Rattus norvegicus: one gene and its partners. The protein of the gene in region 1 interacts with the protein of each later gene in a biochemical or structural test. Links are inferred from orthologs where the notes say so. Each region holds a gene or a part of one and is shown in the gene's direction. Other genes may lie near its edges. The genes, in order: Pparg, Ncoa4, Nr0b1, Ncoa6, Nr0b2, Cdc34 and Hdac3.

Region 1 (3,849 bases):
AAAACACCAAAGATCTTAGCCCAAAACAATGCGCAAAAGCTATTCATGGCTATTCATGAAATGAAAACACAGAAATGGTGAAAAGGTGCATATAAAATGTTCAACATCACAAATCCCCAGAGAAAACCAAATCAAAACTACAACAATACACTGTTCCACAACTGTTAGAATGACTAGTACATAAAAAGAAGAAAGGATATAGGGCAATGGAAACATTTTTTAGTTATATACTATATACTGTGCAGCCATTATAGAAAACAAGTAGAGATTTTCAAAAACTCAAATGTAGAATTTCCGTGTAATTAGCAGCCCCACTGCTAGAAATATGGCCAAGAAATAAAATTACTATGTCAAGATTTCTATGTTCCTTTGTTTATTATGACACTATTCTCTATAGCCAAAACATAAAATTAACATAAGAATCTAGGACATATAAACAAGTAAAAGTAAACAAAAGGCTCAGTGGTATATATAGACACACAAATACAAAATGCACATATATATACTAACATGCACATAAACAAACAAGTAAAAATAAACAAAAAACTCTGTAGTATATATACACACATGCAGAATGTACACACATGCACATACATGCACACACACATACACATACATATAATGGAATACTGTATGGCCATTAAAAAGGAGAAAATTCTGCTCCTTGTAGCAATATAGATGACTCAAAGGAACACTACACTAAGGGAAATGAACTAGACGCAGAAAATGCCACACACTCTTGTTAGTTGCCAAGGACTAGGCATAGGGAAAATAGGAAGACTGGCCAGAGTTTCCATTAGGCTCTGGAGACCTGATGGACAGCAAGATGATTAGAGTTAGGAACACTATATCATATATTTGAAATTTGCTAAGGGAGCAAATCATAAGTCCTCTCATCTCAGAAACTCAAATAAAGTCTGACTTCCTTCTTACCTGGATGGTGCTAGAAAGGCAGTCATGCACTCATCCCTCATAGGGAAGTTTGAGTGAAATGCTTTATTAAACTCATTCAGCTCCCTCTCTATATGTCCTTGAGGACTGCTCTCTCCTCCAGAACTTGACTCATATCCTGTTCTTTCTTTCCACTTCAGAAATTACCATGGTTGACACAGAGATGCCATTCTGGCCCACCAACTTCGGAATCAGCTCTGTGGACCTCTCTGTGATGGATGACCACTCCCATTCCTTTGACATCAAACCCTTTACCACGGTTGATTTCTCCAGCATTTCTGCTCCACACTATGAAGACATCCCGTTCACAAGAGCTGACCCAATGGTTGCTGATTACAAATATGACCTGAAGCTCCAAGAATACCAAAGTATGTTCCCTTTTCAAACTACTAGGGCTGGAATTAGACAGTCTCTGAATATCCTTGAATAAATGCTCTTGAGATCAGCACTCTGAAGAGAAGGCGTCTTTACGCAGTTGTTTATCTACTATACTTAACCTTCTAGATGTCTGTGATAGGCCAAAAAGAAGACAGAGCAACAGTGTTCCCAACCCCCCCCCCCCCGTTTCTTTCCTATCTTGTTTCTGTCTTTGGAACATTTTCTAGGGTAATTACATTACATCGACAGTTTTGTCTTAGGCTAAGAGTCCATCATGTAAACTTTGAATTCTCCCAGCCTCTTACTAATAAGTCACAGTTGCAGGTCAACTTACATGACTCATCATCGCTAAGTTACAATTACAATTAGGTTTTCTTTCTAATCTGTAATTTGTAAAATTTACCTCAAACCCTAGTTTGGGGCATAAACTTACATGTTAACATCGTGGCTGATTGACAGATCATCATGTCATTAAGTAAATTGACATCAAACATCAGCCTCAAGAAAAACCAGAACTGAACTTTTCAAGATAAAGGATCATTTCTGTGGTGCTGTTTCCTTGATTTTTATCTTGTGGGCCAATGTGCTGGTTTTCCAGAGTCACCCCTGTGTCACAGGCAAGCATTACTTGATAATAAGTAAGAACTTCCTGTAATTTCTAGTTGTTTTCTTTAGATAGAAAGTATACGTGGTTGTATTTATCTGTGTGGTTCTGGGTTAGAGCCTAATATGGAAATGCAACAGGTCTGAGCTCCGGGCAAACACAGTACTTGCTTCACATGGGTTCTCCTGCTCTCTATCAAAGATCTCTTTACAAACCACCTATTGACTCAACCCTGTTGATAACCTGGCACCTCAGGCTGGGCGCACCATGGCATTTTCTTGCCCATGTTCCTTCTGTATTTCTTTTGCAAGAAAAATTTAAAACTATTTCTAAAATGCACCATTTCAATAAAACCCATAGTAGCAGAATGAATGCCAGATGTGGCCCATTCCCTTGCCAAATATGTTGCACCTCTTCAAACCCTGTGCAATGTCTGTGGGGAGTGGCAGGGGGACACACTTAATTTCCTCCATTTTAATTCCCTTCCTGCTTTATTTGTGCAGGTGAGGCTCTGGGGTGTAGTGACTTGCCTGAGATGATAAAGTCTTACTTTTTCCTATCGATGTTTCTTCATGTCCCCCAGCATCTCTCCTGAGACAGTAAAGTTATGGCATGAAAATCTGAAGGCCACCATGGAAAGCCACGGTGCCTCTTTAAGATTGTTTGTCATGAGATAACCATCTTCTCGAAATTTCCCATGCACAGGTGCGATCAAAGTAGAGCCTGCGTCCCCGCCTTATTATTCTGAAAAAACCCAACTCTACAACAGGCCACATGAAGAGCCTTCAAACTCCCTCATGGCCATCGAGTGCCGAGTCTGTGGGGATAAAGCATCAGGCTTCCACTATGGAGTCCATGCTTGTGAAGGATGCAAGGTAAAAATACATTTTAAAAATCATCCTAGAATTTTCTGCAATTTTGCCTCTCCCATTTCCTATTACAAACTCACTCAAAGAAATTAAGATAAAGTTATGGGCTTTTTTTTTTTTGGCAGAACTCATTCTTCAAGTAATATAATATTTGACAATCTAAGAAAAGCTAATAAAAGCAGGGTTACTCTGCCCCTCTTCCCCTTCTCCAAAATGATTCTTTGAGGCATCTCAATGCATCTTGCAGAGGTTTTTTTGAGAGGATTTACCCAAGGTATCACAGCAAGATAGTGAATGGTAAGCTAGTACTAGGACCTAAATTTTCTGATTTCTCTAGTGTTTTTCATCAGGCTATATAATCTCTTAAACAAGTAAGGCTTGATAGATGGTATATGTATATCACTTGACCCGTAGACAATGCTGCAATATTAAGCATGTTTCTACATTAGAACTGTAGAAATTGTGAATCAAAGGCATGGATCACTTGGGTAGGAGCTTCATTTATCCCCAGAACTGCGAAAGGAAAAACAAAACTATGGGTTAGAGAGGCTGGTCCCTACCAAGCCCTAAGATAGCGCCGTTCCCTTAGTCCAGCAGCAGACTAAGCCTTGAGTAATGGAAGGGCAAAAAGCAATAGCTGAGCTCTTCCTCTGTGAAGAGTATTTTAGAAAGTAAAGAATATGCTACCCCAATTATAAGGAAAATAACTTAATATATTCATGTTTTTATATATGGTTTTTAAATGACTTTAGCATTCTCAGGGATAAAATAGCATCTAACTAATCATGTTCTGGAAGTCATAGAATACATTGTTTATCAGTATTTACCTTATAAATACTGGAAGGTGTGGTGGTGTGTGCCTTTAATATTAGCACTCAGGAGCAGACACAGGAGCATCTCTGTGAGTTCAAAGTCAGCCTGGTCTCCATAGTGAGTTTCAAGCCAGCCCTGTCTCAAACAAAGTAAAACATAAATAAATGAAGTAAATACAACTTCACTTGAGCTTTTTCTAGAGACTAAAGATGAAGCACACCAGGTGGACATGAG
Region 2 (3,849 bases), on another chromosome or scaffold:
CAGCCTAATAATCACAGGACCAAGTAGCTTGTGACAAATGCGTCCAAATAGCCCATGAATTAACATTTCCGAATATTAGGACAGTAGTAGTACCTAGTCAGAATTCCCTTCCAATAACGTTTCCATCTTTTATTTATTTTTATTCATTTTCTAGCTGTCCTTACCCTTCAATGCAAACAAGTTCTTTTTTTCTATACTATGTTTAACGCTACATAGAAATAGTTTTAGAATTTGTTTCTGTCACAGATCTGTGTTGTGTCTAATGTCTGCCTTTTATGTTTTCAGTCCCAGTAATTAGAGAAAACAGGTTATTCATTAAACAAATAAACAAACAAGCTAACAAACAAACAAAAACACTACACACAGGTCTGGTGACCTCTTTTGGCCTATGACTATCACTGGCCAAATTACTGTGTATCTGAAGACGATGACCTTTAGTTTCTAATCTTGCCCCCTCTGACTTAGGAGGGCAGGGGTTTCAGGCATGCGCCTTCATTGTCCTTACAGGTGGTTGTTGAGAGCTGAACTCCATCCTCTCTCAGAGGATCAAGCACTCAACTACTGAGCAGTCCCTGTGCTCCCATGATGACAACTTAACCTCCCTGCCTCAGAATCCATCTCTGAGCAGCGTTTAACTAAAGCTCTTAAATTACTGCCAGCAGATGGTTTTCAAGGTAGTCAGGGCTCCTCCCATACATCTCAGTCCTAGTCCACAGATACAAGTGCCTTATGACGTCAAGTGCATAGAAATTTTCACTCATTTAAAAACTTTCCTGCAAATACTTGCAAATATCCAAAATCACACACCAAAATTAACCAAACCCAAAATCTGTATTATTTTTGGTAAATAGTTTTGAATAGCAATTCTGAAGCAATGTAGTTTTATCTTGGATTTTATACTTTCACTATCAAATATATTTTTATGTACTTTATCACCAAAACATGCAAAAACTCATGACAGAATTGGAACCAGAACAATTAGCTTTACATCCTTTTTATATCTCAAGTCCATTTTTGTTATCATTATTATTTTGCAGTGGTAGGGATAAAACCCAGGGACTCACAGGTGGTAAGAGAATTACTTCTACATGGAGCCACATCTGTAGTCCAGAAACTTGTTAATGATTGGTGATTTTGTTTTAGTTTTGTTGTTTTTTTCTGAGACAGAGTCTCAAAACCAGTGCTATGTAGTCCTGCTTGCCATGGTCTCCTCCCCTACCTAGTGCTGGGATTGCACCCTGGAAGTATATCAAAGATGGCTTAATGTTCTTCTGACATTTTCACTAGCCTGTGTTCTGCTAATTCAGGACCACTAGTGTATTTTTTCAGATATATTTTCACACGTAGATGGTCCTTAAGTAGTCAGAATCCCCTCTCCTTCCCTCCCTCCCTCCTTTCTTTTGCTTTTTTAAGACAGGGTTTCTGAAACTTTGGCTGTCCTGGAACTCTCTCTTAACCAGGCTGGCCTCAAACTCACTGAGATCCTCCTGCCTCTGCCCCCTCTCCACCTAGCAGAAACAGGTTGGTGAGGAAGGGAGGCAGTATGTATTAAGAGTACATGTGTTGGAAATCAAAGTTGTTAGTGGTGAGAGCTGACTGGAGAAACCTTTTGGGCCATGATTGAATTATGTTTTGGGGATGTCATCATGGTGTTATTTGGTTTTTTTTCTTTCCTTTGAAGGAACAGTGAGCAGAATGAATACATCCCTGGAGCAGAGTGGCTGCTGCAGTAGTAGAGAGACACTTCTGAGGTGCAGTGATGCAAGGAGGGAGCTGGAGCTTGCGATTGGTGGAGTCCTCCGGGCCGAGCAGCAAATGAAAGATAATCTACGAGAGGTGTGCTGTGTGCTTTTCTAGTCCTTGATCGGGCTGTAGCACAAGGCTGGTTAGAGCGCAGGAAAGGACTTCTCAGTGCCACCCAGTGAAGAAATTAAGTTCATAGATACAAGAAACAAAGTTGTAAAAACAAGGGTCTTACAACACCATCAGGTTTGATCCCATATCCTGAATGGTCTTGACTCTTCTACTCCTTTGCCTGGTGTGTTAGAGCTTTCGATCTCACAGGGAAATAATTCCTGTTGGAAGAATCTGAGAGCCTAGTTGTAGAATGCCATTCAGCATGCGATTTCCATTGCTCCTTTGTGTGGTTCTTGTACCCAGTCATACAGAGTAACAGAGTAAGCAGTATTTGCCTCGCTGCATTTTATTCATTTACTTACTTACTGAGCGAGACAGGGTCTCTGTCTAGTTCTGACTGGAACTCTCTGTGTAGACCAGACTAGCTATGAACTCACTGAGATTTACCTGCCTTTGCCTCCCTGGGTGCTGGGATTAAAGGCCTGCGCCACAGTGCCCAGGGTATCTGTACCTTCTTGATACATAAAAAATGCCACTTCATTATGTCCCCACTTAACTTGTAGGTAACATGATTTTAAGTGGTGCAGTCTCTAAATGACTGTCACTCTGCATGTCAGAATGAAATTTGTTAGTTCCAGTAGCATTCTGCTGGTGAGTGCTTCAAGCTCTATATGACTTAGAAAACAGTTTTTTTCTGAAGGGGGAACTTTTATGATATACTTTGGATGCCATATGATTTATAGATGTTTTGAATTTTTCCCTCAAAATATTTGTATAGACAAAAGGTGAATTTCTATATACATTTCTTAGGAACATTAGTTTATAATTAACCTAAACTATCAGTGCTAACGGTCCCCTTGCTTTCTGGCTTACTCTAAAGGACTGTTTATTCCATGCATGTGGAAAAAGGACACAGACTAGCTAGCATATCTCTTTTTTTCTTCTTTCTTTTGTTTGCTTTTTTTTTTTTTTTTCTCCTCTTCTGAGACAGGGTTTCTCTTTCGTAGCCCTGGCTGTCCTAGAACTTGCTCTGTAGACCAGGCTGGACTCGAACTTACAGAGATCAGCCTGCCTGTCTTCCTAATGCCAGGATTAAAGGTGTTCACCACTAAGCTTATCAATGATAAATTTGTTAGGACTGTATTTCTAAGTTATGTGGAAAGCTGAGGGGATTGGTATCCCTGGCATATGTTTTCCTATTGATCACTGATACCCCAGATAACCTTGATCCTCTCAGGAGGAGGAGTGAAGGAGTTTAGAAGTTAGGTATGCCTTTTTGGCTTGGATTCTTTTATTAGGATTCAAAGGATTTCATGGGATCACTGAAATTGTAGGCAAATGTTGAGTATATACTAAAAGAATACTATATCCTTCACAGTGGTCCGTGAGTAATAAAGGATTTCTGACCTCAGAAGTTTAAGAGCGCGAGCATTGTATGGGAATTGTGACTCTTTGGCTTATTACACTCAGTTTATGCTGCCATGCATTTCGTAGGTGAAAGCTCAGATTCACAGCTGCATTAGTCGCCACCTGGAATGCCTTCGAAGCCGAGAGGTGTGGCTCAACGAGCAGGTGGATCTCATCTATCAGCTGAAGGAGGAGACGCTGCAGCAGCAGGCTCAGCAGCTGTACTGGGTAAGGTGCCTGGGGTGCTCCAGATTCAGTGGGCGTCTCTGCCTTGTCCTACTTTTAATATCTTTGTGGCTAGATGTTTGCATTTTCCTTGTAGCTAATGGGCCAATTCAATTGTCTTATTCATCAACTGGAGATTACCCAGAACAAGGATCTTGCCAATCAAGTCGCGCTGTGCTTGGAGAGGTAACGACCTTTCACTTGTTTTGACTTTGGTCTGTCCTAGTAGGCCTAAAAGCAAGTCAGGTTTGTAACTCATCGCACATATTGGATTTTACTCAACTTTGTATTCTCGTGTAAAACCATCCTACATTTATGCTTAATGTTATACTTGCCCTTACTGATAATCCTTGAAAAATA
Region 3 (4,414 bases), on another chromosome or scaffold:
TTTCTGGACATTATACAACCATTGCAATCTTGAACACATAACAGCTATGGCTACCCAAACAAGACAAATATTAAAATAAATAAATAAATAAATAAATAAATAAATAAATAAATAAATAAATAAACAAACCTATGGAAGTAGGAGGGACACTGTCAGCAAGTATGTATAAAATTTTTAAAACAATAAAACGATAAAAAAAAACTGAGGGTATCCCCAATTTTCTTACACTTCAGTAGTTCCTACAGAATTGGATAGCGGAGGTAGAAGAGGAAGAGGGAGAACGGGACAGAGAGGGGTGTCCCATATCAATTAGTGTGTTCCGGTCCCCTTTCCTGTTCTGTAAGAGCAACGGCTTGTACTCTCAAAGTTATGGGGCTAGTGGGTATAAGAATTGGCTAGTCGTACAAAAGTCACATAGTTGAATAGAAAGAGCCCCCTGGTCTCTTGTTTGAGTGAGACTAAAGGTGGGAAGCTCCGTGACAAATGCTAGCATTTAGGCTTTCTGATTCTTGTATTTGTTGTTAGTATCTTACAATGGTTGGGAACAGGGACAGTTATCACTGACCTGCTTCTACAAGAGTATGAGAAGTTCTCACAGTAACAATCTTGTGATTAGTCTGTTCCTAGGAGTCAGCTACAAGTACATAATGTTTGCAGCCCCCAGCTCTTTGATCCAGCATCTAGGACAAAGCGGGTGATTGCTCGAATTAAACTGAAGATGTATTATTACCTGCTTCTGCCAATGCTTTTCAAATGTAAGGTGCATATGTGTAACCTGGGGGTGAATTATTTTACAACTCACACTCAGATATTTTGGCTAGCGCTCAAAAGAAGGCATTTCTGCCTCCGGGTGTAATTCTGACTCTACGTGTCTGGGGTCTACACTTTTCAACATCTTAAGAAATGAGAACACACTCAGCAAACATTATACAAAACGCAAGTTATAAAAATTGTGATCATTCTATAAAAGTTTATAAAGATGTCACAGAAATGGGCTATTTCTCCCGTTTAAGCACGTCTTTCTCCAGAAAAGGAAATAAGTTAGAGGTCGGAGTCCTCTGTCGGAGTCCAACTGCAAGAGTTGGAACAGAGCCCTAACTCCCTGCCTGAGGTTCGCTGCTCTCCTCTTTCCCAGGTAGGGGAAGGAGTAACCAGAAGAGTAACCAGACAGAAGGGGGGCGGTATGCCAGTTCCTGTGCTGAGACGCTCCCCTTAGATTTCCAGATCCTAGGGAGTGTTTGCCCCTTTGAACTTCCGAGGTCATGGCCACACACATTCAAGCGCAACAGCGCGTCCCCCTCTGCGCCCTTGTCCTAGCGGAGGAGGCGGATGCGCTTGCGTGAGCGTTCAGTATAAATAAGTCCCAAGCGGCGGCCACTGGGCAGAACGGGTTGCAGGAGCCTCAGGCCATGGCGGGTGAGGACCACCCGTGGCAGGGCAGCATCCTCTACAATCTGTTGATGAGCGCGAAGCAGAAGCACGGGTCTAGGGAAGAGCGAGAGGTGCGCTTGGGGGCTCAGTGCTGGGGTTGCGCCTGCGGTACTCAGCCCGTCCTGGGTGGGGAGGGACTGCCCGGCGGGCAAGCCTTGTCCCTTCTGTACCGCTGCTGCTTTTGTGGGGAGAACCACCCGCGCCAGGGTGGCATCCTCTACTCTATGCTCACCAACGCCAGGCAGCCTAGCGGGGCGACCGAGGCGCCCAGGGCGCGATTCAGAGCTCCTTGCTGGGGCTGCGCCTGCAGCAGCGCAGAGCCCCTGGTGGGCAGAGAGGGGCTGCCAGCTGGCCAGGTCCCCTCGCTCCTGTACCGCTGCTGCTTCTGCGGAGAAGAGCACCCGAGGCAGGGCAGCATCTTATACAGCTTGCTCACTAGTGCCCAGCAAACGCACGTGTCTCGGGAAGTACCCGAGGCACATCGCGGAGGCGAGTGGTGGCAGCTGTCCTACTGTACCCAGAGTGTGGGTGGCCCGGAGGGGCTTCAGAGCACACAGGCCATGGCGTTCCTGTACCGTAGCTATGTGTGCGGTGAAGAGCAGCCCCAGCAGAGCAGCGTTGCCTCCGACACGCCCGTGAGAGCAGATCAAACACCAGCAGCTCCGCAAGAGCAGCCGAGGGCCCCCTGGTGGGACGCCTCCTCTGGTGTGCAGCGTCCGATTGCACTCAAGGATCCACAGGTGGTGTGCGAGGCAGCGTCGGCTGGCCTATTGAAGACCCTGCGCTTTGTCAAGTACTTGCCTTGCTTCCAGATCCTGCCCTTAGATCAGCAGCTGGTGCTGGTGCGGAGCTGTTGGGCGCCCCTACTCATGCTTGAGTTGGCCCAAGATCACCTGCACTTCGAGATGATGGAGATTTCCGAGCCCAACCTGATGCACGAAATGCTCACCACCAGGCGGCAGGAGACCGAAGGCCCAGAGCCCGCAGATCCCCAGGCCACAGAGCAGCCACAGACGGTGTCTGCGGAGGCTGGGCACGTGCTCTCAGTCGCTGCGGTCCAGGCCATCAAGAGTTTCTTTTTTAAGTGCTGGAGTCTGAACATTGACACCAAAGAGTACGCCTATCTGAAGGGGACCGTGCTTTTTAACCCAGGTAAGCATGACAAATTTGTACACTGTCTCTTCAGGTCAGAAAAGCACCACCTCTACACGCAAGCATTTATGAGTTTTCAGTGGCTATAGGAATTTTGGAGTCCACGTTACTTGTGACTGACTCTGAAAAGCTGATGCATACATCTGGAATGGCCAGTCAAGTGGTCAAGTGGGTGAGCTTCTGCCAGAAACTTGGCACTGGGGGTGGTGGTGGTGTAGGGGTGTGTGTGTGTGTGTGTGTGTGTGTGTGTGTGTGTGTGTGTGAACAGTAAGCTCTCTACGTTTATTATCTGCTGCTACAGAAGTTTCTGCCTTCATGGGACATGACTGACTCTTCTCTCTTTAGCCGTCCTTTAAATCCAGTGACATAACTTTTAAAAAGCTTTTGCTCATTTCACACAGCTCTTCCTACATCCCCATTTTCCAAATTTGCCAATTAAAGGGCTCCTGATGTGTGCTGCAGGGGATAGGGTATGTTAAGTTTTCCCCAGCTCCTCCCCTTAAGAGTCATTAGTTCAGCCCAGCCCAGATCCTGCAAGTCCGAATCCTCAAGTGGCTCAGGTGATATCTGAGGTCATCTGAGAAACAGTTTCTCTTTCAGCCAATGCTATTAATCCTGCTCTGCTGAGATTCAAAGTCGAGACCAAGGTCTCAGCCTTCAGAAGTCTGTATTTCCAGTAGTTCGCCACTTGCCTTGACCCTGTTTCACATCCTTTGTCACCCTTCACCACTCTTCCCGTCTCTCTCCATCCCTCTCTTATTCTTCCTCTATTCTTTTCCCCAGTACTCTCTCCATAGGAGTTTATCCCACCAGATTGTATGCTTTTAAAGAGTAATGCACCCACATTTGTGTACAATTCAAGGTCTGTAAAGCATGTGGTCTCTTTCCTGATTACCCTTTTGCATTCTCTTGTCTTTATGTTTAAAGCCTTACAGTTGACAAAGACACAGAGCTTTAAAATTATATATAAACATATCAATGGGTTTTAACATAAGGGCATAAGAAAAAGTAAGGAGATATGTAAACTGTGGAGTCCTTTTCTCTTTTGCCCTTACATGGAAGGGACATTTTGTGTGGGTGGAAGGGAACAAGTAGGGGAGAGGGGCAGGGAGATGCTCGGAGGAGTTGGAAATGAGGACCAACCAAAACAGTATGAATGAGAACTCCATAAGGAAAACTCTTAGTTTGTATCTTAGAAAGAATTTTTAATGCAAGAGTTAAAAATAGGTACCTTAAGGAAAGGGCCAGAGGCTGTGGTGTGAAAAGTAATGTGTATCTGGCTTAAGAAAGCTTTCGACAAGAGCCATCTCTATGTAGACCTAGAGAGACTATCAATACACACAATCAAATAGGTATCCAAACTTGACTGCCAGGGTATAGAGTGGAGGATGTTGATGCTGTCTTAATTAGAAATATAATCGAGATAAGAAGCATTGCTTGATTTTGTTGTTTTCTTTATAAGCTATATTTGCTCATAGTAGATTCCTACTTATTTTCTGTCACCGTTATTTTCGCCATGATTATTTTTAAACATGATTTTTAAGTACTCTCCTTGAATTTTGTAAAAGAAGTAAGAAAGATGATGTCATCATTTAAACCAAATCTGTTTCAAAGTTGCTTCTGACTGATCTTTCACTCTGTGATATTTTCATCTTTTAACCTTTGAATGCTATTAAAAGCATGCTTTAAAAAAAAGGGGGGGGAGATTCTTCTGCCAGTGTTTTTCTCCAAAAGAACCCTTTGAAACATTCATTAGAATCATAATTTTTAGAACTTCCTACAATCTGGAAATCATGGTCCAGTGAGGAGCATCAGTAATCTTTAGCATCAG
Region 4 (3,849 bases), on another chromosome or scaffold:
TTTTGCCTCCTTAAGCAGTGTGCCCCCTCCCTTGCTTGGGTCGAATAATGAGGGGCTGTCCTGGGAGCAGCATGCCTGAGCTCTTTGTGCACGGTCTGCTACCTATGAGTACTGCTTAGCTATACTCGAAAGGTAGCAAAGTTTTCTCACTGAAAAGTCTAACTTCCCTGATTTTGGGGGCTTGTTTTAGGTTATCCTACACAACCAGTTGAACAGAGGCCACTGCAGCAGATGCCTCCTCAACTCATGCAGCATGTGGCACCCCCACCACAGCCACCACAGCAGCAGCCACAACCACAACTGCCTCAACAGCAGCCACAGCCGCAGCCACCACCACCTAGTCAGCCACAGTCGCAGCAGCAGCAGCAGCAGATGATGATGATGCTCATGATGCAGCAAGATCCCAAATCCATTAGGCTTCCGGTCTCCCAAAATGTCCATCCTCCACGGGGTCCTCTGAACCCAGACTCCCAAAGAGTGCCCATGCAACAGAGTGGCAATGTGCCTGTCATGGTTAGTTTGCAAGGACCTGCCTCTGTGCCACCGTCACCTGATAAACAAAGGATGCCAATGCCTGTGAATACTCCGCTGGGAAGTAATTCAAGAAAGATGGTATACCAGGAGAGCCCACAGAATTCCAGCTCACCACTAGGAGAGATGCCCTCACTTCCTGAAGCTGGTGGCAGTGAAGTACCATCTGTTTCAGGAGGCCCAAGTAACATGCCCTCGCATTTAGTAGTTTCTCAGAATCAATTAATGATGACAGGACCCAAACCTGGACCATCTCCCCTTTCAGCAACTCAAGGTGCAACTCCCCAGCAGCCTCCTGTAAACTCCTTGCCTAGTTCCCATGGCCACCACTTTCCAAATGTGGCTGCACCAACCCAAACATCTAGGCCTAAAACACCAAACAGAGCCAGCCCCAGACCCTATTATCCTCAGACGCCCAACAACCGCCCTCCTAGCACAGAACCTTCAGAAATCAGTCTCTCTCCAGAAAGACTCAATGCTTCCATAGCAGGACTCTTCCCTCCACAGATTAATATTCCTTTACCTCCCAGGCCAAACTTAAATAGGGGCTTTGATCAACAGGGCTTAAATCCAACAACTCTGAAGGCCATTGGGCAAGCACCTTCAAATCTCACTGTAAGTAATCCTCCTAACTTTGCTGCCCCACAAGCTCATAAATTAGATTCTGTGGTGGTGAGTTCTGGAAAACAGTCTAATCCTGGAACAACAAAACGGGCAAGTCCAAGCAACAGTCGCAGGTCTAGTCCGGGGTCCAGTAGAAAGACTACCCCAAGTCCTGGAAGGCAAAATTCAAAAGCCCCTAAACTTACTCTGGCTTCTCAAACAAGCACAACCCTGTTGCAGAACATGGAGCTGCCTAGAAATGTGTTGGTTGGTCCCACTCCACTTGCCAATCCCCCTTTATCTGGAAGCTTTCCTAACAATAATGGGCTTAATTCCCAGAATCCCACCGTGCCTGCGCCTGCAGTGGGGACTGTTGTTGAGGATAACAAAGAGAGCTTGAATGTTCCTCAGGACAGTGATTGCCAGAATTCCCAGGGGAGGAAGGAACAGGTAAACACTGAGCTGAAAGCAGTCCCTATCCAAGAAGCTAAAATGGTTGTCCCCGAAGATCAGTCCAAAAAGGATGGGCAACCTTTGGATCCTAACAAACTCCCCAGTGTAGAAGAGAACAAAACTTTGATGTCTCCTGCCATGAGAGAAGCACCAACATCACTAAGCCAACTTCTCGACAACTCTGGAGCTCCTAATGTGACCATTAAACCCCCTGGGCTTACAGATCTGGAAGTAACACCTCCAGCAGTTTCAGGAGAGGACCTCAAAAAAGCATCTGTCATTCCCACACTGCAGGATCCGTCTTCTAAAGAACCCTCTAATTCTTTAAACTTACCTCACAGTAACGAGCCGTGTTCAACCCTTGCGCATCCAGAATTGAGTGAGGTCAGCTCAAACATTGCACCAAGCATCCCTCCAGTAATGTCAAGACCTGTCAGCTCTTCCTCCATTTCTACTCCCTTACCCCCAAACCAAATAACTGTATTTGTTACTTCCAACCCCATAACCACTTCATCTAACACATCAGCAGCCCTGCCAACTCACTTGCAGTCTGCATTGATGTCGACAGTCGTCACGATGCCCAACGTGGGTAACAAAGTTATGGTTTCTGAGGGACAGTCAGCTGCTCAATCTAATGCCCGGCCTCAGTTCATTACACCTGTCTTTATCAATTCATCTTCAATAATTCAGGTTATGAAAGGATCACAGCCAAGCACAATCCCTGCAACCCCATTGACAACCAACAGTGGCCTGATGCCTCCCTCTGTCGCAGTTGTTGGACCTTTACACATACCTCAGAACATAAAATTTTCTTCAGCTCCTGTAACACCTAATGTCCCCTCCAGTAGTCCTGCTCCAAATATACAGACAGGTCGGCCATTGGTCCTTAGCTCACGAGCCACTCCTGTTCCGCTGCCTTCCCCTCCTTGTACATCCTCTCCAGTCGTCGCTCCTAATCCTTCTGTCCAGCAAGTAAAAGAATTAAATCCAGATGAGGCTAGTCCTCAGACGAACACCTCAGCAGACCAGAGCACTCTGCCTTCTTCACAACCAACCACAGTAGTTTCTCCCCTTTTGGCCAATAGTCCAGGCTCCTCTGCCAATCGGCGAAGCCCAGTCTCATCCAGTAAGGGCAAAGGAAAAGTGGACAAAATTGGCCAGATTTTGCTGACCAAAGCTTGTAAGAAAGTTACAGGCTCTCTGGAGAAAGGGGAAGAACAGTATGGTGCAGATGGAGAAACTGAAGGCCCAGGGCTAGAGACCACAACTCCTGGGCTAATGGGAACAGAGCAGTGCTCCACAGAGCTGGACAGTAAAACCCCAACACCCTCAGCACCCACTCTCCTAAAAATGACCTCTAGCCCCATGGGCCCAAGCTCCACCTCAACAGGACCCATCTTACCTGGCGGTGCTCTTCCCACCAGTGTACGCTCTGTAGTAACCACATTGGTACCCTCTGAGCTCATCTCCACAGCGCCAACCACAAAAGGCAATCATGGTGGGATAACATCTGAGCCACTTGCAGGTGGCCTAGTGGAGGAGAAGGTGGGATCCCATCCAGAGCTTCTACCCAGCATAGGTATGTACTTGAGCTTGGCATCAGCTCCTCGTGTCAGTGTTTTGCTGACCTGCCCTACAAGAGAGAAAGACAAGCCCTTTTCTACTTAAAGGAAGAAAAATGGCAGTAGTTGTAGACTTACTTACTGAAAGTACATTGAAAAATAGGCTTTTAAATCCCATGTTCAGTTTATATTCATTAACATGGTTCTTTCCTGGCTTCTGAATCAATTCATGTTTCATTTTTATGTGTATATGTTTCTCAGTTTTGAAAAGCTTTTTCATACACACTATCTCACATCATCTGTATACCAACCATGTGATATAGCATTATTCCTTGCTGTGGGTGAAAAGAGTGAAGCTCAGAAATGTCTAATATTTGTTGAGCCTATACTCTTAAGTCTCTGGCCTGGCACAGTCCCTTAAGTGTAAACATCGACCTCTCTATGCCCCTCCCATGATGAAGACTTACATGTTCTTCTTGTCTTGTTCTCATTGTATGCTAACTCAGGGGCCTTTCTGTTTGAATTGCTCCAGAAAAGCTTACCAGAAAACCAGGTTTTGTGATAAGCAAAGGAAAATCTGAAGGGGGAAGAGTCAGATAGGCTTGAGTTGGTAACTACCAGCATTTACCATCTCAGTGGGCTGGGGCAAGTTTCACTTCCTCCTTTGTAATGTAGAGACAGTAATGGTCACAAGATTTCA
Region 5 (4,619 bases), on another chromosome or scaffold:
GGATGAAGAGAGTCAGGTGCCAGTCTCATAGTCTACACAGGACTTTGCTCTGTCCTTAAATCAGTACCACAGGAAGGAAGACCTTATGGTCTCACCTAAGATACCAAGGCTCAGCTGGGGGTTGGGGGGAGGCATGGGCCTTTAACCTAAGTACTAGGGAGGCAGAGGCAGGTGGATTTCTGTAAATTTGAGACCAACCTGATCTACAGAGCAATTTCTTAGGACAGCCAGAGCTACACAGAGAAACCCTGTCTAGAAAAAACATAAAATGGGGGGGGGGGCTCCCTGAACACTGGAGACAAGCTGATAGTCACACTGTGAGTGGGACTCGTGGAGCCTAAACCAGATGCCAGGGCAGAGGATGCCAGATCTCTCTTTATCCACAGCACCAGGTTGCCTAAGAATGTGGCAACAGGGAGCCTGCTAGGCAAGGCTAGCCAAGGTCAGGAACCCGACACAACTGAGGCCCTCCCATGTCCCTTGTCCCTCACCTCTGACCGCTTGAGACAAATGTCCAAGACAGAGGAGTCATGTGCTAGCAGAGATGTGTTTCTACCCATACCACAGGTAGGCCATACCTGCAGACCAAGTATGTGGTGGGGGGTGCCTCTTAGCCACCAGTTCTGGGAAATTCACACTTCGGCTGCACAATTGATCCAGGGGAACAAACAAAGATGACTTTGAGGTCAGATGCACCTGTGCTCTGTCCCCGTCGGAGTGACTTTGAGTAGGTCACTTCACCTCCAGAGTGTCACAGAGTAAGAATGAAGTCTTCAGTGTTACAGTGGACCGAGACCCACACCAAGTGTGTGGGGGTGGGGGGGTTGGGGGGGTCCTTACTAAATGTTAGCCATGTAGGCCCTCGGTTTTGCAAGGGCAGATCCAGCCTCTGTGAAGCTATGGGAATGCAGGGTGGGAGCAGGGGCTCTGAAAGGTCTTCTTCCCAAAGGGGTTCATGTCCTGGAGTCCCAGGAGGGCAGCCTCCTAGACTGTACAGTGAACAAAGTCCCCCAGGGACCTGGCTCCCTTCCCTACAGCCTGTTCCTTACCGACAACAGGAGCAGAGCCCCAAGGTTAGGCAAACAAAGCAGCGATAAGCCACTTCCAGGCTGGGTATTGTATTCAAGGCTTTAGCCAGCTCCCTGGCTGGCTCCTTGGCTCTGTGAGAACCCTGGTCTTGTGTACATGAAAACGGCCACCAATAGAAACAACAGTCACGGCCAGCCCCTGGCTGGTTGAACGCCTGAGACCTTGGTGCCCTGGTACAGCCTGGGTTAATAACCCTGTTTATACACTTGAGTCATCCGATAAAGGGCATCCAGGCAGTGGGCAGGTGGCCCTGTGCCCTGCAATGGCCACTTCATTGACTAAAGCGATAGCAAGGCCACGTGGAGCTTCCAGTGCCCCTCCCCCACCACTTCTCCACCAGTCCTGCCAGGGTCAGCGTGTATGCATTGTGTGTGTGTGTATGGTTTTTTTTTTTTTTTTCAATGAACATGACTTCTGGAGTCAAGGTTGTTTGGCCAGTCCCCCTCCCGCCCATCAAGGATATAAATAGCACTCCGTAGAGAGGGCCACAGAGCCAGGAAGAAACAGGAACAAGACACAGACCATGAGCTCCAGCCAATCAGGGGTCTGCCCATGCCAGGGCTCTGCAAGCCACCCCACCATTCTCTACACACTTCTAAGCCCCGGTCCCAGGACCAGGCCCATGGCACCCGCATCTCGCAGCCACTGCCTGTGCCAGCAACACCGGCCTGTGCGCCTGTGTGCTCCACACCGCACCTGCAGGGAGGCCTTGGATGTCCTAGGCAAGACTGTAGCCTTCCTCAGGAACCTGCCGTCCTTCTGCCTCCTGCCCCATGAGGATCAGCGACGGCTGCTAGAGGGCTGCTGGGGCCCTCTCTTCCTGCTTGGGTTGGCCCAGGATACTGTGACCTTTGAGGTGGCCGAGGCTCCGGTCCCCAGCATACTTAAAAAGATCTTGCTAGAGGAACCCAACAGTGGTGCCCAGGGTGCCCAGCCACCAGACCCACCACAACCCTCACTGGCTGCCGTGCAGTGGCTGCAGCACTGCCTGGAGTCTTTCTGGAGCCTTGAGCTGGGTCCCAAGGAGTACGCATACCTGAAAGGCACTATCCTCTTCAACCCAGGTGAGCTTCCAGACACTCCTGGATGGTGGCCAAGGTGGGAGGGGACAGGGCTCATCCAGGGAAAGTGCTTTCTTGGGACTTGGCATCCATTGTACCTTTGGGTCCTTTTTAGCCTCAAAAATAGATACCTCGGGTTGGGGATTTAGCTCAGTGGTAGAGCGCTTGCCTATCAGGCGCAAGGCCCTGGGTTCGGTCCCCAGCTCCGAAAAATAGAAAAGAAAAAAAAAAAAAATAGATACCTCATAGGAGAGGCACAGAGAGGTTAAGCCACTACCTGAAGGTCACACAGCTGGGACTGCAGACCAAGCTAATGCAGAGACTACTTTTTGCCATGGTTCCTGAAATTTGGCCTGCATCTTAGGGAGTGTGGGAGGGTAGATGGGGTGGGGACATGGCTGCTTGGCAGATATATCTTCAAAGCCAGGCTGCATAGTGAGGTTCTGAAGGTCCACCGTGGGTTCAGGGAGGCCACTCAGAGAAGAAGAGAGAGAGAGTATGGGAGTGGGGTGAAGTCAAGCCAGGAGAAGAGTGATGGGGTGACAGGGAGAACTGGGACACAGTCTCACCATGTCACTCTGGCTGGTCTAGAACTCACTGCGTAGACCAAGATGGCCTAGCTTGGGAGAATAATCCTCGTGGCTTTGAGGAAGACAAGAGACGGACCTTGAAATTAAAGTACGATGTCACGTCATAGGAGTAGGCGTCCCAACTAGTCCCATGACATCTACCATATGTTAGGACTCAGTCTAAGGGCTTTACAAATATTGGTTTGCTTAAACCTCATAACAGGTGTGGGTGACCAGAACTGTCATTATCCCCACTTGACAGATGAAGAAGTTGAAGCACAAAGATTAAAGTACTCATTTAAGGAAGGTCACTCAGAAAGATTAAATTACTTACTCAAGGTCACTCAGCCAGTAAGTGGCTGCACTGAGATTCAAACCCTGGTTTTTTGGTGGGTTTGTTTTTGTTTTTGTTTTCTGTTTGTTAGGTTTTTGGGTTTTTTTTGTTTTTGTTTTGGGGTGGTTTGGTTTTTGGTTTTAAGATTTATTTAGGGACTGGAGAGATGGCTCAGCAGTTAAGAGCACTGACTGCTCTTCCAGAGCTCCTGAGTTCAAATCCCAGCAACCACATGGTGGCTCACAACCATCTGTAATGGGATCTGATGCCCTCTTCTTGTGTCTGAGAAAAGCTACAGTGTAATCGTATACATAAAATAAATAAATCTTAAAAAAAAGATTTATTTAGCCAGGTGGTGGTAGCATTTAATTCCAGCATTGGAAGGCACTGGGATCTCTGAGTTCAAGCCCAGTCAGAGAACTAGTTCCAGGACAGCCAGGGCTACACAGAGATGCCCTGTCTTTAAAAAAAATCAAATGAAAAGTAAAAATAAAAAGATTTATTTATACATTACTTTATGAGCTCCTACATGCGTGTGCATATGTACACATCACCTGTCAAGGAGATGTCACAAAGATGTCAGAAGAGGGCGTCAGATCCTCTGAAACTAGAGTTCTAGGGACTTGTAAAGCACAACATGGATGCTAGGAACTGAACTCAGGACCTCTGGAAGAGCAGTCAGTGCTGTTAACCACTGAGCCATCTCTCCAGCCCGTGTGTCTTCGTCATTACATCCACATTATCTGCTTGCTCTCCATAGTGGATGGATGGATAAGTGGTAAATAGTGAAGGAGACAGTGGGTGGGGCCTCCGAGGTGGCAGAGGGGACCAAGGCATGGACTCATCAGTGAAGAGATTGCCTCACAGACCTGGATTTTATTCCCAGCGCCCGCCACAAAACCGTCCTCTAACTTCCTGGCTTTACGAGCTGAGGATGTACTTCCCTAGTATGTTTTTTATATACATTGTCACTGTCTTCAGACACACCAGAAGAGGGCATCAGATCTCATTACAGATGGTCGTGAGCCACCATGTGGTTGCTGGGATTTGAACTCAGGACCTTTGGAAGAACAGTCGGTGCTCTTAACCACTGAGCTATCTCTCCAGCCCACTTCCCTAGTATGTTAAAGGGGCTATCAACATGCAGCCCAATGGTGGAATGTCTGCCTAGTGCACACTAGCATTCGCAAGGCCCTGAGTTGCACCCCAGCATACGAGGGAAGGGAACTGCTAACATTCTCCCACCCTGGGCAAACCTCCACAGACTTAGATGCTCACCGGCCCTCTTTACCCTCTCTGCCACAGATGTGCCAGGCCTCCATGCCTCCTGCCACATTGCACACCTGCAACAGGAGGCTCACTGGGCATTGTGTGAAGTCCTGGAGCCCTGGTACCCAGCTAGCCAAGGCCGCCTGGCCCGAATCCTCCTCATGGCTTCCACCCTCAAGAACATCTCCTGTACCCTTCTGGTAGATCTCTTCTTCCGCCCTGTCATCGGAGATGTTGACATCACTGAACTGCTTGAAGACATGCTTTTGTTGAGGTGACCTGTAGAATGGGGTCCGG
Region 6 (4,460 bases), on another chromosome or scaffold:
GGACAGGCAAGTGGCATTGGATCCTTGGCTCTTCCTGGTCACATCAACCAGCCCCACCTTTGACACTGTTTCCCTATCCCCAAACAGGTCTGCCTGATATCCCCAGCCAGGACAGGATGTTGGCACACCTGTGGGGGGTTACGGGGCGGGGGAGCTGCCTTTTCCCAGCCCCAGTTATTGATGCAGCTGTAGTCCTTCAGGACACCCACAGTCCAGCTGTGTGAACAACACAGCCTAGGGCCAGAACCACCCACCCCTAGAGGTCACGGGTACACCACACACCTGTCTGCAAGGCTTGAATATGCTGCCACCTCAATACTCATGACCAAATGTCCAAGAAAGGAGTGTGGGTGTCTATGCCGGTCAACCTCGGGGACTTTGCGTGTCTGTTCCCGCTCCTGTAACTTTCCAGGATGCCTCACCACTGCTTAAGCAGGACTAGGGTGTGGTCAAAGGACAGCCTGACATGAGAGTCCTCCCAGGGTAGAGGTTAGCACTCCACCCGCTGGAAGCCAGGTCTGCAAACCCCAAATCGTCGATTCTGTGGGCCCTCCTTCTACCTGAGCCCATAGAGACAATATAGGGACATCCATAGCTTCATGATGGGAAACTAGGGCGGATCCTGCTCCGCTCCCGCACAAGCCACGCCCAACTCCCCACCCACAACCACGCCCCCTTGACGTCACAGAAAAGGCCCCCAAAGCCGCAGCTGCCACTCCGCAGCGCGCAGCCCAGCCCTGCCCGCCACTCCGCACACAGGCATCCGCGGAGCTCTTCCGGCCGGAGGCGACGGCGGCCTCCGGGGCTTCGGAAACGCAAGGCGCCTGCGCGGCAGGGCGGGGGAAGAAGACTACACTTCCCGGCGTGCCCCGCGGGCGGGCGCGCAGACACATTCCGGACCCGGTGGAGGCGTCGCACAGGCGCATTCTAGACCCGGCAGTGGCGCGCAGGTGCATTTCCGGCCCGGCAGCAGCGGCGCGCAGCCGCATTCGGGGCCCGGGTGTGGCACGCAGGCGCATTCGGGGTCCGAAGGAGGCACGCAGGCGCATTCGGGGCCGGGAGCCGGTGCGCAGGCGCATTCGAGGCCCGGCGGCTGCGGCGCGCAGGCGCGTTAGGCGCGGGCCGGGCCGGGCCGAAGCGAGCGCCGGGCGGGCAGCGGCGCCAGAGCGAGTGGAGCCTTCGGGGTCCCCGGGTGGTGGCGGCGGCGGCGGCGCAGAGGAGGAAGGCGGCGGCTCTCCCCCTGCCGGCGCGCGACCCGGTCCGTCCCGCGAGCTCGCGCCGGTCCCGCGGCCCGGCCCGGCCCCGGCCCCGGGCCCCTCCGCCGCCGCCGCCGTCACCGCCATGGCCCGGCCGCTGGTGCCCAGCTCGCAGAAGGCGCTGCTGCTGGAGCTGAAGGGGCTGCAGGAGGAGCCGGTGGAGGGCTTCCGGGTGACGCTGGTGGACGAGGGCGACCTGTACAACTGGGAGGTGGCCATCTTCGGACCCCCCAACACCTACTATGAGGGCGGCTACTTCAAGGTGAGCCGAGCCTCAGTTTCCTCTTTGTGCCTGCCTCTCTCCCAGGCTGGCTCAGGCCCCTCGTGCAAAGCGGCCCCTCCCTTTTTTGTTGGGCACGTGCTGACCTCACCCCGGGGACTGGTCTCCCTATACTGTTCTCCAGCAGGCTACATGACCAGAGACAGCTAATGTATGCCGCACCCCCAGGCAGACCCCCACTACAAGACGTAGGGGCCTCTAGAGCCTGCTGCTGGTCAGTGTGTTCCCAGGCTGTCGTGCACTGGACTAAGCATGTACCTGGGGATGTATCTCCCCGTGTTGTCCCCACTCTTCCAACATGCTTCTGGTGAAGGGTCTCCCCAGGGACAGTTGCTGGCCTTCTTGTTCCGGTGTAGTTCTCCCCACCACAAGACGCAGAAGCATCTGGAGCCCTCTGCTGGCAAGCATGTTCCCAGGTTGTCCCTCACCCCACCAGCATGTGGTGAAACCTGAAAAGGTTCACCTTAGTTTGTCCATATCTCAAGACATAAAGGACCACGGGCAGCTGCTGGCTGACATCCCCAGGCCTGTCCCCTACCCTGGAACACAACCAGAGCAGCCACTGGCCGATGTGTCCCCAGGGAAGAGACGTGTAGCCTGGACAGCCACCTGCTCCAGTTCCAGTAGAGGCCCTGGCAGGGCCTTGGCAGCCGTGCCTGTTGGACAACAGCCACCTTTAGCACTGGCCAGGCTTCACGTAATGCATTCAAGGGGGTGGTGGGGGCCCACCCTGAATCTTGGAGCCACACCTTGGGTTCCTGCCAAGGGCCCTGGACCCTAGAGCTCTCTGTTTGCCCCACCCTGACAGCCTTTCTCAGGTTCCACTGAACAGGTGGAGTCTTAGGGGCCTGATTTTTCCTTCTAAGGGGTGTCGTCTGCCCTCTGGTGGCTTCAGGCTCAATGCACCAGATGTTTTTGTGGTTGGGAGCAGGGAGGCTTAGGCAGCCCCCAACACTGAGTATGTTTGGCCAGGTATAGGTACCCATGTCAGCACAGTTGAATCATCCTGCCTGCCATGGACTAGAACTAGCAGAATCACAGGATCTTATGTTAGGGCCAAAGGTGCACGCAAACCCCAGCCAGTCTGGGGCCCCAGATGTAGGGCCGTGGCACTTATTTGTTCTGCGTCTTCCTTTGTGGCTGATGTCCTCACCCTTCTTGGTCAGTGCTTAGGAAAGTCACAAGTCTCCTTATGCAGGGGAATGTTTGAGTTAGGGTTTCCAGGTACAGCATGTGGAGAACGGGAGGGAGACACATGTGGACACCCTCGCTTCCCACCTGGAGGTGGTCTGAACTGAGCCGCCTTCAGGACATGCAGATGCTGTTAGCACCTTGTCTCCTGTGTTTGCGGGGGGGGGGGGGGGGGTGCTCAGAGCAGGGTCACCTGAACTCTTCCTTGCCCGTAAAGGATTGTGGGTAGAGCCTCCTAGGCTCACATTGTTCTTGAGGTAGCTTAGGAGGAGGCCCTGCATGATGTCACTCAAATCCGCCAATGTAGGAGCTTCCTATATGGTGTGAGTGACTGAGACGTGGGGAGTCTCTGTAGGAGGGGAGCTGTGAGGAGCTTCTCTGGACAGCCCAGCCTGTCTCACTTGAGAGAACCCTTCCTGTTCTGAGCCTCAGTCTGCTCATTCTTAGAAGCATCTGGAGCCCCAGAAGTGTGGGGTGTTGTTCCAGCAATGCCACCTTCCCCATCTGCTCTCCTGAGAGGATCGGGGTGGCAACTCCACACTAGGTTTGTGTGCGCCAGGCAGAACACTGGAAGCTGTCCTTGGGGAGCTCCAAGACTAGGGCAAATCTCAGGCCTTCTCTATCTGTCCAAGGTCGGGGCAGTGGGCAGGGTGAGCTTCAGCCACAAGCAGTTGCTGTGACCAGGCAGATGGTTCCAGCTTGTCTGGTGACTACTCTTGGCCTGGGCCCCTGAGCTTGGGTGGTGTTGGTGGGAGGCCTGAGGCCAGGCAGACCTGCTGACTCACTCCTCTAGCTAGCCCACACCTTTCCTAACCGCCTTGCCTTTCCTAACCTGGATGTCAAGTCACAGAGGTGTGCTGTGTGTATACTGGTGTACAAAGACTGGAGTTGGCTTCAGGGCCTGTACACCAGCGGCAGGTGGGCACAGCCCCTGACTCCAGCAGTGCTCGGGGGCCTGCCATTGAGCCACCCCATTTTCTGCCATCTGTAGGCTCGCCTCAAGTTCCCCATCGACTACCCATATTCCCCACCAGCCTTCCGGTTCCTCACCAAGATGTGGCACCCAAACATCTATGAGGTAAGACACTAGAGGCCTGCTTCAGGCACACTCCACCACACACTTCTCTGCCTCCCTTGCACATGCCCCACCCCTCCTCTAACCCTGGTCACTCTTGCAGACAGGGGACGTATGCATCTCCATCCTCCATCCCCCAGTTGATGACCCACAGAGTGGGGAGCTACCCTCAGAGCGGTGGAACCCCACGCAGAATGTCAGGTGAGAATTGCCATGGAACTGCACCGTGGGCACCCGCAAACACCCTGTACCCTAAGATCCACCCTTCCCTGCTCCAGTCAGGGGTTCCCAGAGTCTGGGGAGCTGAGCTTGCACCTACGGCCCTACAGGACCATCCTCCTGAGTGTGATCTCCCTGCTGAATGAGCCCAACACCTTCTCGCCTGCCAACGTGGACGCCTCGGTGATGTACAGAAAATGGAAGGAGAGCAAGGGGAAGGACCGCGAGTACACGGACATCATCCGGTGAGTGCTTCCTACTGTGAAGAGTGATCTGGGGTGTGGGTGGGGTGGGGACTTGTTGTATGTTTCCATTTTTTGCATCCCGGGCTGGATGTGTGGAGGACTCTGGGGCCCCCAGAGCACGGAGTTGACCACCCAGGGTGGCCAAGATCCCCTCTGCCTTGTTGTTGACTTAACTCCATGAGCAACTGGGCTCT
Region 7 (3,849 bases), on another chromosome or scaffold:
GAGACACAAAATAGTAAAGTATGCTAGTATTTTTAAAAGGTAATATTTGTGTGTGTGTGTGTGTGTGTGTGTGTGTGTGTGTGTGTGTGTGTCCCCAGTAGCAGAATAGGGTATTGGAATTTACCTATCGGAGTGAGCTTCCCGGTGTAGGTGCTGGGAACTGAAACTCTGGCCTCTAGGAAAGCAGTAAACACTAATGTTGAGATGGCGCTTTAGCCCTAACGCAGTGGTTCTCAACCTGTGGGTCTGAACCAGGGGAAAACACATAGGACCCTCCAGCTATAACTTTATTTTTGTTGCTTGCCATTTTATAACTGTCATCTTGCTATTGAGTGGTGTCTCCTAAGACCACTGGGACTCTGTGCTTTCCCATGGTTTTGGCCCACATGTTGAGCAATACTACCCAAGGAGTTCTAATCCTGAGCGCACAGCTCAGAGGCAGGAGGATATCAGATGGGGACAGGGTGAATAGCACCCTCAGTAAAAGCGCTTGCTATACAACCATGAAGACTCAAGTTTGATCCCAGAGCTCATGTGAAAACACTAGGCCTGGCGGTACCCATTTATGATCCATAATCCCAGCCCTGGTGAAGTAGAGACCAGAAGATTCATAGGGTTTGGTAGCCAGCCAGCTTAGCCTACTTGGAAAGTTCCAGGTTAAAAAAAAAAAAATGGATAGTGCCTTTAGGCCAACACTTGAAGATGTCTTCTAGCATGTGAATACACATGCACACATCCTCAGACACACGTGCACTGGCACACATATGAAGACTCACACATTTGTACAAGTAGTCACACCCAAAGAATGCAACTTTGAGTTATACTACACAACAGGACAGAGAAATATTGTTGGTCAAGTCTTCCTCCAGTATTTCAAGGCATATCGGTGGTCACGTGTCTTGGATTCACCTAGTCCTCTTGTTGCTTCTAACAGGGAATGTGTTGAATATGTCAAGAGTTTCAATATCCCTCTCCTGGTGCTGGGAGGTGGTGGTTACACCGTTCGAAATGTTGCCCGGTGCTGGTGAGTATTCTACTCTGCTCCTCTGTAGTTCATGATAAACTCCCTGAAATTGGAGGGGTGGTCCTTTCAGCCCTACCCCTCTGCTTGCTGGTTTCAGGACATATGAAACATCTCTGCTGGTAGAAGAGGCCATTAGTGAGGAACTTCCCTATAGTGGTAAGGTCCACTTCATGATGCCCCCCACAGGGGGCCCATTCTCACCAGTCCTCAGAATGACCTTGTTTGAAGGGAAATTGCACATTCTGGGAGCTCTGCAGACTAAACCCCTGTGCTCAGAGCAGAGCAAATACTCTTACACATGGGGACCAGGACTCAGAGAGGTGATCGGAAAGCCATGGGATTCAGTCTTTTGTATCTCAGCCATACTCTCGTTCATCCCTCTCCCAATTGCTTCTCATCTCTAAGAATACTTCGAGTACTTTGCCCCAGATTTCACGCTCCATCCAGATGTCAGCACCCGCATCGAGAATCAGAACTCACGCCAGGTTAGCATCTTGGGGAAGCTGGACACAGCAATGCTGGGCGGGCTCAGGAGAGGTCTCGGAGGTGGGAAATGGAGAGAGCAAGGGAAGGAAGTTCTGGGCTGTCACTGTCACTCTTATCATGTGGTAGCCCTGGATAAAGGACAAACAGTTGGGTTGCTGGGAAGGGACAGTCACTAACTGAGGATCTGACCTTGAAATACTACTTTAAACCAGGATGGTCATGGTAGAAGGCGGATAGAATTTCATGTACTATGGCAATCACCCTGGCACTGTTGACTCTTTTCTTCTAAACTAGTATCTAGACCAGATCCGCCAGACCATCTTTGAAAACTTGAAGATGCTGAACCATGCACCCAGTGTCCAGATTCATGATGTTCCAGCAGATCTCCTGACCTATGACAGGACTGACGAGGCCGATGCTGAAGAGAGAGGTCCTGAGGAGAACTACAGCAGGTCTGGGGCCAGAGAGCGGGTGGTTCCTCAGGCTTGCAGAAAAGGCATGAGTTCGCCTGGCCCTGGCTGATTTCCTTTAGGCTGCAAGCTTTTTTCTCTTTTGACCCTTTTAGATACATCAAAATGTGTTGTATTTACATAGTTTCAGGACTACTCCATGGCAGTAACTGTTATTTATGGTTTGATTCATGTGGTTTTGGATAGGTAATTTCTATAGATTATAAGAACACTATATGCACGTGTGCACATTCAGAATTTTATTTCTACAGTTACTTATTTTTCTTGATTTGTTGCTGTTGTTTTTGGGTTTTGAGATAGGGTTTCCTCTGTGTGGACCAAGCTGGCCTATAAATCAGATATCCTCCTGCCTCTGCCTCATGAGTGCCGGGATTAAAGACATGCACCACCATGCCTTGCTCTTTCTTGGTATTTTTGAGATTGGGTTTCACTATCATAGCCCAAGCTGGCCTTGAGCTCATAATAATCCTCCTGCCTCGGGTTTCTAAATGCTACCCAGTTTGTTTATAAAGTTCTTGTTACTATGAGTAAGGATATTTTCTATATGTTGCTCTGAGTTGTGTTTGCCTGTTTTTTTCTTTGAAAGGGTGTGTGCCATGTCGGTATAGAGATCATTGTTTCTCAGTTGTATAATTCCATTGTGTGGTGACCACATGATCACAAGGGCAGTCAGTTACCACTTGTGGATATTTACGTTACTCTCCATCCCACTCCCCCACCCCCCCCTTTTTGTGGCTATTAAAACAATAAGGACTGCGGCACTGAATATATATATATACATATATATATATATAAAATATATATATTCACATATATATGTGTGTGTGTGTGTGCACGCACGCGTGTGTGTATATATATACATATACATGTATATGTATATATATTCATAACTGTTGCTGTAGGGAAAATGGCATATGCAGTAAAACTTTTCTAATGTTGCCAAATTACCTTCCAGAAAGAATTTAGTGGTTTATTTACATCTTTTTAAGAAAAATCTTTTATTTACTTTTAGATTGATTTATTTTATGTGTATGGTGTTTAACTTGCATGTATTTAAGTACACCATTGTGTACCTGGTGCCTGCTAAGGTCAGAAGAGGGTGTCAGATCTCCTGGAACTGGAGGATGGTTGTAAGCTGCTCTGTGGGTGCTGGAAAGAACCTGGGTCCTTTTCTATGGCCACAAGTGTTCCTAACTGCTGAGCTGTCTCTCTCGCTCCCTATTTACGTTTGCCAGCATTTTACTCCATTCTGAGCAGTGAACAGTAGACCACTGCCCACATTCTCTTTTATAGGGTTTCTACATTTGTTTAGTTCATTTTTCTAGATTTATGAGTTGTATTGAGTGAGGTGTGTGTGTGCATGTATATGTATAAATAATCTTTATCTTCATAGATCTATGTTGAAATATTTATAGTTAGAATGAAATAAGGCAAGATTAGTATAGATCTTTTTGTTGTTTGTTAATCCTCAAAGAAATTTCTAGAAAATGATGAGAAAGGACAACAGACAACCGAACCCAGAACGATGGAAGAGATGGGGTTAGTAGGGACCAGATGCATTTGCAGGACTGAGACCATCTGAGTTGCTGTGCTTCTGTCATGGGCTTGAAGCTGGCTGTGCTGCAGCTGTGGTGACATCTCAGTTCCTCCTGAGTCTGTTCTGGGTCACAGAATTTTGGCCTCCATTTCTGTCCTCTGGACTTGGTCTTGACCCTTGGGACTTTCTAGTCCTCCTCTTCCCTGGATGCCTCCCCATTCCCTGGCTTGGGTGAGGAAGTATCTAAACATCTGGTTCAGGCTCTGTCTAGTCATCCATTCCTTAGCATCTGTCTACAGCTCTCTAAAGCCTGAGTTCTAGAAGCTGATCAC

What was found.
Region 2: the proteins of Pparg (region 1) and Ncoa4 form a complex in vitro, tested with the Homo sapiens proteins (2 studies listed by BioGRID, with this or other methods). The link is inferred for Rattus norvegicus from reciprocal best matches to the Homo sapiens genes PPARG and NCOA4.
Region 3: the proteins of Pparg (region 1) and Nr0b1 form a complex in vitro, tested with the Homo sapiens proteins (2 studies listed by BioGRID, with this or other methods). The link is inferred for Rattus norvegicus from reciprocal best matches to the Homo sapiens genes PPARG and NR0B1.
Region 4: the proteins of Pparg (region 1) and Ncoa6 interact in a test that uses a peptide from one of them, tested with the Homo sapiens proteins (2 studies listed by BioGRID). The link is inferred for Rattus norvegicus from reciprocal best matches to the Homo sapiens genes PPARG and NCOA6.
Region 5: the proteins of Pparg (region 1) and Nr0b2 form a complex in vitro, tested with the Homo sapiens proteins (2 studies listed by BioGRID, with this or other methods). The link is inferred for Rattus norvegicus from reciprocal best matches to the Homo sapiens genes PPARG and NR0B2.
Region 6: the proteins of Pparg (region 1) and Cdc34 form a complex in vitro, tested with the Homo sapiens proteins (2 studies listed by BioGRID). The link is inferred for Rattus norvegicus from reciprocal best matches to the Homo sapiens genes PPARG and CDC34.
Region 7: the proteins of Pparg (region 1) and Hdac3 form a complex in vitro, tested with the Homo sapiens proteins (3 studies listed by BioGRID, with this or other methods). The link is inferred for Rattus norvegicus from reciprocal best matches to the Homo sapiens genes PPARG and HDAC3.

The regions. Positions count from the first base shown.
Region 1 is NC_086022.1:150,172,178-150,176,026, forward strand, and holds part of Pparg (peroxisome proliferator-activated receptor gamma), read left to right. Parts: intron 1-1,091; coding exon of another isoform or gene 1,092-1,099; coding exon 1,100-1,319; intron 1,320-2,638; coding exon 2,639-2,808; intron 2,809-3,849. UniProt on the Homo sapiens protein: Nuclear receptor that binds peroxisome proliferators such as hypolipidemic drugs and fatty acids.
Region 2 is NC_086034.1:7,405,239-7,409,087, forward strand, and holds part of Ncoa4 (nuclear receptor coactivator 4), read left to right. Parts: intron 1-1,681; coding exon of another isoform or gene 1,682-1,695; coding exon 1,696-1,836; intron 1,837-3,351; coding exon 3,352-3,492; intron 3,493-3,586; coding exon 3,587-3,675; intron 3,676-3,849. UniProt on the Homo sapiens protein: Cargo receptor for the autophagic turnover of the iron-binding ferritin complex, playing a central role in iron homeostasis. Acts as an adapter for delivery of ferritin to lysosomes and autophagic degradation of ferritin, a process named ferritinophagy.
Region 3 is NC_086039.1:54,706,256-54,710,669, forward strand, and holds the start of Nr0b1 (nuclear receptor subfamily 0 group B member 1), read left to right. Parts: upstream 1-1,402; 5' UTR 1,403-1,409; coding exon 1,410-2,583; intron 2,584-4,414. UniProt on the Homo sapiens protein: Nuclear receptor that lacks a DNA-binding domain and acts as a corepressor that inhibits the transcriptional activity of other nuclear receptors through heterodimeric interactions.
Region 4 is NC_086021.1:164,364,235-164,368,083, reverse strand, and holds part of Ncoa6 (nuclear receptor coactivator 6), read left to right. Parts: intron 1-190; coding exon 191-3,166; intron 3,167-3,849. UniProt on the Homo sapiens protein: Nuclear receptor coactivator that directly binds nuclear receptors and stimulates the transcriptional activities in a hormone-dependent fashion. Coactivates expression in an agonist- and AF2-dependent manner.
Region 5 is NC_086023.1:151,061,582-151,066,200, forward strand, and holds the start of Nr0b2 (nuclear receptor subfamily 0 group B member 2), read left to right. Parts: upstream 1-1,578; 5' UTR 1,579-1,612; coding exon 1,613-2,153; intron 2,154-4,358; coding exon 4,359-4,600; 3' UTR 4,601-4,619. UniProt on the Homo sapiens protein: Transcriptional regulator that acts as a negative regulator of receptor-dependent signaling pathways. Specifically inhibits transactivation of the nuclear receptor with which it interacts.
Region 6 is NC_086025.1:10,670,471-10,674,930, reverse strand, and holds the start of Cdc34 (ubiquitin-conjugating enzyme E2 R1), read left to right. Parts: upstream 1-1,323; 5' UTR 1,324-1,341; coding exon 1,342-1,518; intron 1,519-3,718; coding exon 3,719-3,805; intron 3,806-3,905; coding exon 3,906-4,003; intron 4,004-4,131; coding exon 4,132-4,266; intron 4,267-4,460. UniProt on the Homo sapiens protein: E2 ubiquitin-conjugating enzyme that accepts ubiquitin from an E1 ubiquitin-activating protein, and catalyzes its covalent attachment to other proteins by an E3 ubiquitin-protein ligase complex. In vitro catalyzes 'Lys-48'-linked polyubiquitination.
Region 7 is NC_086036.1:30,023,962-30,027,810, reverse strand, and holds part of Hdac3 (histone deacetylase 3), read left to right. Parts: intron 1-934; coding exon 935-1,024; intron 1,025-1,121; coding exon 1,122-1,180; intron 1,181-1,429; coding exon 1,430-1,509; intron 1,510-1,804; coding exon 1,805-1,962; intron 1,963-3,849. UniProt on the Homo sapiens protein: Histone deacetylase that catalyzes the deacetylation of lysine residues on the N-terminal part of the core histones (H2A, H2B, H3 and H4), and some other non-histone substrates.